3 linked regions of the Styela clava genome follow. The protein of the gene in region 3 purifies or fractionates together with the protein of the main gene of each other region. This does not show direct contact. Links are inferred from orthologs where the notes say so. Each region holds a gene or a part of one and is shown on either strand. Other genes may lie near its edges. The genes, in order: selenoprotein S-like, FAS-associated factor 2-like and derlin-2-like.

Region 1 (3,760 bases), on a different chromosome or scaffold from region 3:
CAAATTAGCAAGCTTACAAAGAAATCCAAATTTATGGTGCAGAAAACCATTGTGTGGGCTTAATCATGGCCTCTCAATACACAAAATACACTGGTGAATGCAATTTTGAGTTGTCTCAAGCAATGGGAAGTAGCAACGGAGAAGAAAACCTATTATGTTGACTTAATCATGGACTACTAAGGCCTCTCAATCAAGGAAAAAGATAAATAAATGCCAAATAAAATAAATCGAGTTTTTTCGAGCAATGGGCAGCAGTTTATTTCAAAACTCCAAAATGTTTACAAATTAAAAAGAAAGGATTCTGAAAAGAAGTCTGTTAAATCCCCATACAGGGAGGTCTCGGGTTACGACATTCGCGACTTACGCTGTTTCGAGGTTGCGAATGCGCACTCCATAATGCTGTTCCGAGGTTACAAACCATGCCATTAAAAATATAAAAAATGATACTGTACTGTACAGTATTTGCTTTTATTCATGGGATATGAAATTGTTTTCTGTATTTTTTAATAAAGCACTTTTCTGCATTATTTGTACATTTAATTACAGTACCATGCTTTACAATACAGTACGATATGTGTAGAGTAATTTATGCAATGTACAGTATAATGTTCAGACTTACACTGAAATTGGGGTTACACCGCGTCTCGAGAACGGAACAACATCGTAAGTCGTGGACTCCCTGTACTTAGAAATTGCTACTAATTCAAGCATAATTATTTGACTGGCAATATGAATCGATCATCAATATTATACTAAGGAATGAACAATAAAATTTATCCACCTCTTGCCTTCTCTCTGCCTCCCTTCTTAGAATTGCAGATGCTTTTTCCTGCATTCTTTGTCTGGCAAGTTCCATTGCTTCAGCTCTTTTAGCCAGAACTTCAGGATCTAAGTAGCAAAAAAATATTTGAAATAATTGAAGAATATAGTTTTTAATAGGGAGCTACACAACCTTCTTTGAAATATTCTATAGTCTCCATGCATGATTGTGAAATCTTTATAATATTCGGGTTTCTCAAGTAAAAAAAGGCGTCACCATAGGTCAATCGGCACAATGCATCTCAAATATAGTATCAGTAGCTACTCGTATCTCGATGGCCGCCTGTAACTTGTCTAATATGTTGTGTTTCTTTCACATTTGAGTGAGTTTGAGTGACCTCAATTAAAGAAATTTCTCTTGTAATATTCTATATCAGCGCTTCTCTGACTGCGTTCTGAGAGCTTCTTCGAAGCGTTCCGTGGAACAGGAATCGAAATTGCGACTTAATTGGTCGTCATGCCAAACTCGGTTTCATTTCGGCAACTCTGGATAGTAAATTTGCCTCCAAAAAGGCGGAAAGGGCCCTGCTATCTAAAAAGGCAGATAGGCCTAGCGCCAGTCTAAAAATCATGGAGTTTTCATTAACCATTCAATATGGTTGACTTTCTAAGAGTCAAATTAACAGCAAACATTTTAATTTCAACATAGAATAAATTATTTGAAAACTATCCATTAATTTTATTTTCTAATTTCTTGGCGTTCCGCGAGGCAAGATAAAATACGCTCCGGGGCCAAAAAAGTTTGAAAAACGCTGTTCTATATTATACAAGATCATTTTTAATATTGCAAGTCGACTTACCATTTTCCACGGGATCATTTCGTTCTTTTGCTCTTTCAATCATTTTCTTGACTTTTTTCTCAATGTTACTCCATAATATTATAAGTAGAACAGCAATTACCATGAGAGTCCATCCATATGTGGCAAGAAATGATGTTACTAAATACAAAAAGTGAAAATTATTATTTTCAAAATGATGGTACAAATTTATAAGAGGTGTTCAACACTGCTACCTCTTTAAACTATTAAAAGATTTGCCGTATTACAAACGTTTTTTGATGATGCAAATCCATGTTTTGCATATTTTGCCCAAAATATGGGGTACCAGAAATCGTCTCAGCCCTGATATAAGTGGATCAAAACTACCAACCAAGAATTATGAGACTTGTGAAAAATATGCAATAAGTCCACCTCCAAAAAATATAATTTTTGATCCATGCATTGAAAACCGTTCGACAAGGTTTCTTCTAAGTCAGACTGCTGTTTGGAATTAATTTTCATATCTGAGCAATCCACGTATAATTTAATAACTTCTTTACCTACGTTATCATACTATCATGTGGCTTTGAAGCCAACAAAATCATACTGCAACATCACATTACTCACCTGCATAGTAAGAAGCCATCATCACATTGGGATTAATATTTTTCAGATCAATTTGTTCCTCCACAAATTCATCTTCTACTTCCACAGTTGCATCCTCCACCTCAGCGGCCATTCTTAGGCCAAAAATTAATATTTATACAATATATAATTCAACTGAAAATCAAATTACACAAAATATTCAGTCAATTCATTACTAAAATCCTTCCTTAATCAAATCAGCAAAAATAATAACAATAATGATATAAGTTCAATCATGCTCATCTGGGCATCATTTTTAGGACTAAGAAAAGATTTATGCACTACATTGCGAAACAAACTAAAATTCAAATTTACACATATTACTTATTTCAACATAAAACAGTTCTAAACCAACATAAAATAAAGACAAAGTTCCATCATGCACATCACAAATCCAAAACAAGATATCCAGTACAGAGAGCGTTCATAAAGTCCGCTCATAATTTAAATAAACGGGGCTCCCGAAGTATGCGAACCAAGATGGCGGACATCGGAATGTAATATGAGTACTATGTTAGGGTTAGGCCATAATTTTAGGTATAAATACTACGGGAGGCTCTTGGCTAGTCTTCAAACTGATAATAGGACTAAAATAAGGAAAATTGGAAAAAAATTATCGCTTAACCCTAACCTGTTACCCATGTTACGTTCCGATGTCCGCCATCTTGGTTCGCATACTTCGGGAGCACCAAATAAACAAATCATATGATATCGAAAAATTCCGTTTGCATTCGAAAAAAAAATTTAGTCTTCATGAACGTACATTTTTATTTAAGGCAACAAATCTTATCTAAAATATATCCCACAAAATTGACAATATAGTTGTATAAGCTAGTTAATCTTGCATATCGAAAAAAACTCTGAATGTGGTCGTTAAAAAACTTTGCAGCGATGCAAGCAGTTTTATCACACATTTAATGACACATACATCCTGTCCCACAGAAATTGATTCATAAACATAAAACAAATTAACAATTGTTTTAAATTTAGAATATCGAAAAGGCACGCATTGACATAAATTGGTCGAAAAAAAGAAATATCAGAAAATATATTGTAATAGGAATATAATTACTAATATTTCAATTAATAACTTTTTCCAAATAAAGTATTAAGCTATCAAGAACATCAGTCTTTTTTCGATTTCATGAAACATATAATCTGCAAAGAAAAAAATGCACATACAAACGGTCTAATGCCACCAAGACAGAATTGTAAAACAAACGCAACGATGTGTGAGCAGAATAAGCAGCATTGCCAAGTCCAATTCGACTGTTCAGAATTATACTAAACAAGAAACGTACATTAGCGCATTAATAACAACAGTTTAACGCTCTGATTCTAATATTGTCTTACAACACTCTTATCCAATAGTGCTTCAAAAATGATAAGCAATAAATCTCCAATTAAAAAATGCCAATCAATCACCAGCAAACTCGACCAAATAAGGTATCAATTTAGTGCACCATCATCCTTAAAAAATTTGCTGTTAATTTTTCAATCTTTTTTACATCGTTAGCATGTTCTGTTTCATACTGCAG
Region 2 (3,760 bases), on a different chromosome or scaffold from region 3:
AGTATATTTAGCATAACATATATTTATTATAATTAAACTAATACGACGAAGCATTTTAAATGCTAGCAGTAGGCCTATCGGTCATGGATTGGAATATTTTGCGTAACAGAAAATCATCCTAGTAAAAATTGATTCTTTTACCTATTTTTATCAAAATTATTTGCCGAAAAGCGGGGAAAAAGTATAAATTATATTTTCTAATATTTCACGCGTGAACCACCACCGTGTTCAATATTACTCCCCATTAATTTGACCTCTCGTTTTCAAGAAATTCATTAAATTGTGTCTTATAGCTACTCTACATTTGAAAGTACACAATATATGTTATTAAATTTTGATTTCACTTTCGTTCGCGAAGTACAGGACTGATATTGTGCCGCGGGAATGGCTGGAGTAAACGCCTTGTTGGCGGCTTTCTAGAAGTAAGTACATTTGGTTATTAAATACGGCGTTACATAAGTTTTAATTTTTCGACGTAATGAAAATGAAAGCTTAAATTAGAAGCTGCGCAAGAGAATGGCGGCAATGCCCAATGTTCATGCTTCTGAAAACAAACAAGAGAGCTATGCTCAAATATATGGACACGTAGCGCCACCCAGTGGCAATGATTTTGATGACGTCATAGCGAGAAAAAAAAGTGATAACCTTCTGGAGAAAAATTTTATCTTTAACCACTGAAAATATCAAAGCAATTGGTCCAGTATTCGAAGAGAAAAGCGATTTTTTAAAAATGGAGACGGAGACAAATAACAATAACAACAAAATTTTGAAACGATCGTTATGGCCACTAAACGTGTCCAATAACTGACTAACTAATCCCACACCGGACACGGATTGGTAACCGGACTAGAGACCGTGGTTCTCCATATGATTAACCCATCTTATCGGCTTCCCGCTCTTTCGGGATGAACAGGTAAATCTTATCTTATGCCGATTTTATTTCATCGTCAGTAAAATACGTGACAAAGTAAAAAAAATCGTGGCTATTATTCGGAATTATTCTAAAATTAGCTGATAAACAGATAAAGTATTCAAATACTTTGATAGTCGAATATTCGATTCGTTTTGGACAACCCTGCTCAATCAATCAATCAATCAATCAATTTTATTTCGGTCGCTCTGGTATAAAACGAAACAAAAACAAACGAACAAACACATAGGACCTGGAGGACGGGCATAACTTAAAGAAAAGTTAAAAACGTGAAAATACGCGCCCGTCCACCAAAATACGCGCCTCTGAAGTCATCATCAATTGTGACGAAATGCTCTACTTTGGAGATGTCAACTCTGTATATTTTGTAAATTGGAAATCGTTTGACAGGATCCCAAAAGATTTAGGCCCACGATCTAAAAGAACCCGAACTTTCCGTGCGCCTACATTCTTGCAATATGCATTCGCGTAAAAATGTAGTCAGGTAAAACCTTCTAAATACGACACCTAGCCACCGCTTGCAGCAGAAGTACATGTACCAGTACTATAATACCAGAACGCCAAGTTTATTATTTCTTTTCTGAAAATATATGGGACTGAATAGTATTTAGACTAGGATTGGATTGGTACCGGTGCGAAATAAATATCTAATAGGGCTGTGTATTATTGTATGGCGGACAATAACGAGCAAGTAATAGAAAATGATAGGGGTGAAGATGAAGAAAACTTGAATCAGGAATTAACAGAAAAACTGATTCATTTTCAGGTTAGCTTTGCTATCATTATAGGCTATGCAGTTACTGAATTATATGAATTCACATTCTACAATAACTTAATCTATGAATACATCTGGTGAGTGAAGCAGGCCTAGCCCACCTCTTCATGCATCCAACTTGGCAATTCTGTTTGGGCAATTTGCCATTAGGTGACTCCAATTATAATCTGCTTGACGATATCTTTTCAGGAATATTTTTTCTATCCACAGTACATAACTCCTTTTGCTGTTTTGACTAATTTGGTATCCAATTCCTGAATTCGACAATACTCATAAAATTATTAATTTGGTGTGGCAAAAGAATTTATTCTTTTTATTTGTTTGTATATTCTTCTTCTTACTGCAGTACTGAGTAATTGATTTTATGTCTCGCTTTTTTCACTCCCAACCTTGTCATGTCTCGATGATTGTATGTTTGTGTGTATATGCGTTGTATGCATGCGTTAATTAGTTTACTACTCTTAGGTGACAGGGTGAGCGAACACGTACTACTTCTTCTATCAATACCTCCCCACCCAAAATATGTACGCTTTAAACCTTGCTTGAGGTTTCGTTTGCTTTCCCGACCCTATAATCAGTTTTATTTATTTTGTTTTTTTCTATTGCCTATTGCTGATTATGGAGTCAAAATAAACTTATACTTATAGTAGCGTATCGGATTATTGTTTGGGAAAAAATGAAAATTTGGGTTGTATTTTTACATCACATTTGTGTTTGGCGTTATTTAAACATTTACAGATTTACAGCGTTTACGGTACATCGCGAGACCCTATTGCTGTATTGCTCTGTATTACAGTACTTTGATAGGATTTTTGCCTGTGTCTTTTGATCTTAATTTCTCTTGACGTTAGAATTGTTATGTTACTTTCCCGTCTGACTGTGTTGATAATAACCTCACTGATATTATGATCTGTGTAGTTTCTAAGGCAAGAACTTTACTGCATAAATAGCAGTTTTTCACCTACTGACCTAATTTACGTAATATAATGAAGGTGTAGACCCAATTTTGTACTTTAACATGCCCATGTTTGAGTGCAATTATAGCAAATCAAACTATTTTTACCTAACCAATTTCTCACCCAAAATCTGTCATAATATTAAAATCGTATTTAAAACGTCTTTCAGGAAATCACCAACATAGACGATCTGAATAGATGTAAAACTATTTTGAGGCAACATGATTGGAATGTTGAAAGTGCAGTCCAGTCAACATTTCTTGAGGCAGGAATGTCTAATTCTCAACAGGTTGTATTGTGGGAAGTCCCTCTTTAATAATTATCTTTTAGATTACACATGATTAATTGGCTACGCCTTTCAAAACATTGGTAAACACTGTTTTATTTCTTTAGTCAAATCTACCACCATCGATATCTGCAAATTCTGGTTTAAGACGAAGAAATGTTGCCACCATATCTCCACCACTTCCATTAAGAACTAATTCTCATACGACATTGTATGAAGCAAGAGGATTACAATTGAGGCAACCTCAAGGAATATTTGAATGGGGATATTATGTTTTATCAATGCCATTCCGATTTACATGGTCAACGTTATTTGGAATTGTGAGGTATTTCTGCATAATAATTCTGCACTGAAGTACTATCAGTGTAAAGCCTTTTGAATATTACCTGTTAAATTGATTACACAGTAAAATTTATCAGGCCGATCGCATTTCAAATTCATGAGATCCAAAGTCCTTAGCTATAACAAGTCATGTAAGATTGATTTTAGATGTCATTGTAAGCAACCTTGTGTGTAAGACTATTCAACAGAATAATAGCTGTCAAGGGGAAATCAATTCTTTCAGTTCTAAACACCTTCAAAATATTTCTCACCACCAAAAATGTAGTTGGACTTCCATTTGGCCTATTAATTTCAAAATAACTTTGAAACACCTGAAATGTAAATGGAATGAAGAAATGCTTGTTAATAAACAATGGCAAATAAAACTAGAACCCTATAATGATCCTTTTTTTAAATTTGATAACTATTGAATTTTTATTAATTTTACGCTTTATATTTCATGTGTCTCCTGACTGTTTACCACAGGTTTT
Region 3 (3,760 bases):
ACAAAGTAGTTTTATGACCCCGAGATCACCAAGGGGCACCAAGAACTTTGCACGTTCAGTTCAGAGGGCCTTACTTCGAGCAGATCTGTATGAAGCAACTCACCCTGAAAGTTAGGATCCCAAAGAAACTCATCCTAACATAAGGATTCCTCCGACTCCAGACATAAACCAACATTATTGTGAAAGCTTGACCAAGGAATACGAGGCTTGCAAAACATGCAATTATCTGGATGTTACATAAACAGTTAAGGATATGATAGAGCCATCTCATTCGTTTTCATTCGTTTCCATTCGTTTTCCTCCTCAAATAGACATGAAAATCATTTAGCTTCCTCCTATTATTTTATGCTCCATTTTTAGTAATAAAAAGCCACCAACAACTAAAAGTAAAAGAATTAATGCACCACGGATAAAGAATTGAACAAATCATGATCAATTTACTTTAAAGGCGGACAATGGCGGATAGTAGTTAGTGAAGCCTTCGCTCATGGTCCCGGGGATCGGTTCGCCAAACCAAACTAGATTTTTAAAAGGATACTGTCATAATAGATCCGCCCAGAATAAACATGAAAACAAAATCCCCGGTTTTTCCACGAAATGATCCTTCTTCCAACATCCTGCAATACCTGTATCTGGATAGTTAGAATGTTGTTGGTTAAGGAAAAGGTTCATCTGTGTGGATTCTTATGCCAAGTTGTTTTGTTGTACAACATCCATTAAGAAATATTTACTGGCCATGTTGGAAAGAAGAACTGAAGAGATTGTTATTGCAGTATCCTTATACCTACACATGGACTACCTCACAATTAGGCTGTTTGTAACCATAGGTCAGTCATATTTTCGGGTAATGCGCCACCATGATTCTATAGTTTGGGGGGTTCTTTGTATTTCAGTAATTGACATAACTTTGCTCAGAGACAAGTCGCAGTACCCACTCATGGTGTAATAAATTGCATAGACAATGCAAAACCAAGAATATTATGGCAATCCTGAAATTAGCAACTTCGTACATACAGTAGGATATCAGTCGTTGCTTATTTAGAGCAGGGGTGTGCAAAGTGCGACCCGCGGGCCAAATGCGGCCCGCAAGGGAAAATTGTGAGGCCCGCGGAGGCAACTGAATAGCAGTTTGAAAAATTTTAATATTAAAAGATAAAAAAGCTAAATGAGTTTTGGTTCCAGCCTATCAGTTGATGTTGTCTAAATCAAATCTAGAATAAGATTTGACAGCAAATTATTTGGAAATGAAATTTGGCGCATTTTACTGAAAACTTCTCAATCAAGTTACTTCCCACATTTGAAAAAGTCATGGCTTCGAATATGGCACTTTTCGGTAATATATTTTTGTTCTAAAATGGGCGTCGCATCGAATTGCTATCACTTCCTTAAGCAAATTTGGATAAAAGTAGTTGGGAGAAGAATCCAGCAGCAAATTTCTCACTGAATTCGTTTAAATTGGGTGCAACAATATATGTCTTTAAATTACAGTTCTAAGAACTTAACTCATTATTTCTGTAAGGACCAAGAGATCAATAACAAAAAGACACCATTTTGTGCCTGCAACTAATAGAAAGCCTGTGTGAAATGTAGGTGCGGCCCGCGGTTCGACCCGGTTATTGATATTTGGCCCGCCTTCGAAAAAGGTTGCACACCCCTGATTCAGAGCATTGTTCAGAGCAAAAGAAGTGAACAAGCATAAATAAAAAAAATATCAAAAAAACTTAACTTTACAAAACAAAAAACTCTCTTCACAAAGGATACAAAAATATCATATTAAATAAAAAATTAAATCCAAAAGTTCCGAAGAAAACAAAATTAGTGATGAGACGCCATAGTTGGTAACGTTGAAATATCAGATCAGGATTGAAATAGATTTGAAATGGTGAGATCACTTCAAGTTGCTGAAAAAAGAAAAGAATGTATTTTCAAAAAAATTAATAGGTAACAAACAGATAAATATTTACAATGACCGATAGCTTTTTTAAAACTACAAATGCTTGGGTGACCACACTCCCCATAAATACTAACGTTAAATTTTTTTTCATGTGACATTACGTTTCAGTGTGGGATGGGTCCTAATTGACCGAAGTGAGTTCAGTTGATTGTACAACAGACACTCTAAATACTGTACAGTACATTTGCATAGAAAGTTTTAAATTGGTTGGAATGGTGTGTCATTTAAATAATTTAGATAAGACTATTAAAAGAATTTTCATCGAGAATATATAATTTTATTTTCATCGTGCATGAAGCGTTGTACTATTAATTGGAAGGAAGCAATTGAAAAAAAATATGCCATACAATATTTTAACCGTAATTGCCGAAGGGAAAACAAGAAAGACTATCAAGCTATCGTGTTAGTAAACATAATGGGTGAGAAAAGCAGCAGAAGATGTCGGATGATATAACTAGTTGTTCTACAGCAGGAAATGTTGAATAATTACAATTTGAAAAATATAACTTAAACCAAGAGAGAAATAATAAAAATTTGTATCAAGAAAATCAATCAGAAAAAAAAACTGATCAAATAGGTCAGTTTAGACCAGGTGGGCAAGGTTATTGCACCATGGGCCAAAACTTATATGACCTATACCCAATTACAGACAATATTTACAGTGATGCCAAAACAAATGCAAAAAAATAAGCCTCGTGCTAAAACTGAGTTTATTCGCAATGCAATCTCAACAAATTCCTTGAGTGCTCACCACTGCTAATGTTGTGACAACGCATGCTGTCGTATAAGCTCTCGTCACCGGTGGAATCTGCATGTACTCCTGCTGAAAAGTTTGGTACGCCATCTTGAATTGGCGGCTTCAGTAAAGTATTTTCAATAACGTGAATTGTGAGGTATATTCGAGTTATATTTGAAAAGTTTTCGATATTTACAGATACCAGGTTTAAGGCTATATATTATACTGAAGTATTATCCAATCTCAGCATTTACTATAGATTCTGTAAAGGTAAATTATATCAATTATTATCTATATCTCTCTCTATATATATATATATATATGATAGAATTTACATATTTATCCCGGGGGAAAGTCGATAAGATGCCTTAATCATATCTGCATATGGCAAATTACAACTTCTGACTGTTTGGGTCGGTTACTCTCTCAGAGAGAGTGTCAGATGTCAGGATGTGTCTCAGATGCATGGACTTGGAAGACTTGATTGTGGAATAAGGATAGGATATGATTTACATATTTATCCCGGGGGGGAGAGAAAAAGGGGAACAAATTGTGACGTGTTTTGTAAGATTCATTGTAAAACCATATCATTTTAGCGACCCATACCTAATATACATTCTCTCACACTGGGACATGGACGAGCCATAAACTAACTGACTACCGGTATATTGTACATATCGTCGTTGTGTCGTATCTCCTTGTCTTGTGTATTTTACTAGAGTTTTATTTCTATAACCTATTTCATGTCTGTTGTCCTATTATAAAGTAGTAGTCCTAAAATGCTGTTATAATTGTTAGTAGGTGTGCATGTCGCACATCTGTGTCTTAGGCCAGTAAGGTCTTCAGGTCTTGAACATGTATCCGTCTCTGTTTTACTGTTTAATTATTATGCAGATACTGTTATATTTTGGAGGCATATAAACATACATACATGTTCTAAAACGTCCTAGGAATCTAAATTCTAAACCATCGGAAAACCTACGGTACCAAAAACTTATAAACTAGCCAACAACCGAGCAGGAACCACAACTGAGCGACACGTCGGACCTTTGCCAGCGAAATAAATGACG

The links.
Region 1: the proteins of derlin-2-like (region 3) and selenoprotein S-like purify together in Homo sapiens (affinity purification with western blotting; 3 studies listed by BioGRID and IntAct, with this or other methods). This does not show direct contact. The link is inferred for Styela clava from reciprocal best matches to the Homo sapiens genes DERL2 and SELENOS.
Region 2: the proteins of derlin-2-like (region 3) and FAS-associated factor 2-like purify together in Homo sapiens (affinity purification with mass spectrometry; 5 studies listed by BioGRID and IntAct, counting the BioPlex papers as one, with this or other methods). This does not show direct contact. The link is inferred for Styela clava from reciprocal best matches to the Homo sapiens genes DERL2 and FAF2.

The regions. Positions count from the first base shown.
Region 1 is NC_135253.1:20,577,905-20,581,664, reverse strand, and holds the start of selenoprotein S-like, read right to left. Parts: upstream 2,677-3,760; 5' UTR 2,317-2,676; coding exon 2,205-2,316; intron 1,758-2,204; coding exon 1,620-1,757; intron 889-1,619; coding exon 782-888; intron 1-781. UniProt on the Homo sapiens protein: Involved in the degradation process of misfolded endoplasmic reticulum (ER) luminal proteins. Participates in the transfer of misfolded proteins from the ER to the cytosol, where they are destroyed by the proteasome in a ubiquitin-dependent manner.
Region 2 is NC_135256.1:23,649,767-23,653,526, forward strand, and holds the start of FAS-associated factor 2-like, read left to right. Parts: upstream 1-1,455; 5' UTR 1,456-1,601; coding exon 1,602-1,697; intron 1,698-2,831; coding exon 2,832-2,951; intron 2,952-3,055; coding exon 3,056-3,273; intron 3,274-3,755; coding exon 3,756-3,760. UniProt on the Homo sapiens protein: Plays an important role in endoplasmic reticulum-associated degradation (ERAD) that mediates ubiquitin-dependent degradation of misfolded endoplasmic reticulum proteins.
Region 3 is NC_135264.1:18,503,356-18,507,115, reverse strand, and holds the start of derlin-2-like, read right to left. Parts: upstream 2,949-3,760; 5' UTR 2,799-2,948; coding exon 2,706-2,798; intron 1,902-2,705; coding exon 1,762-1,901; intron 633-1,761; coding exon 539-632; intron 227-538; coding exon 104-226; intron 1-103.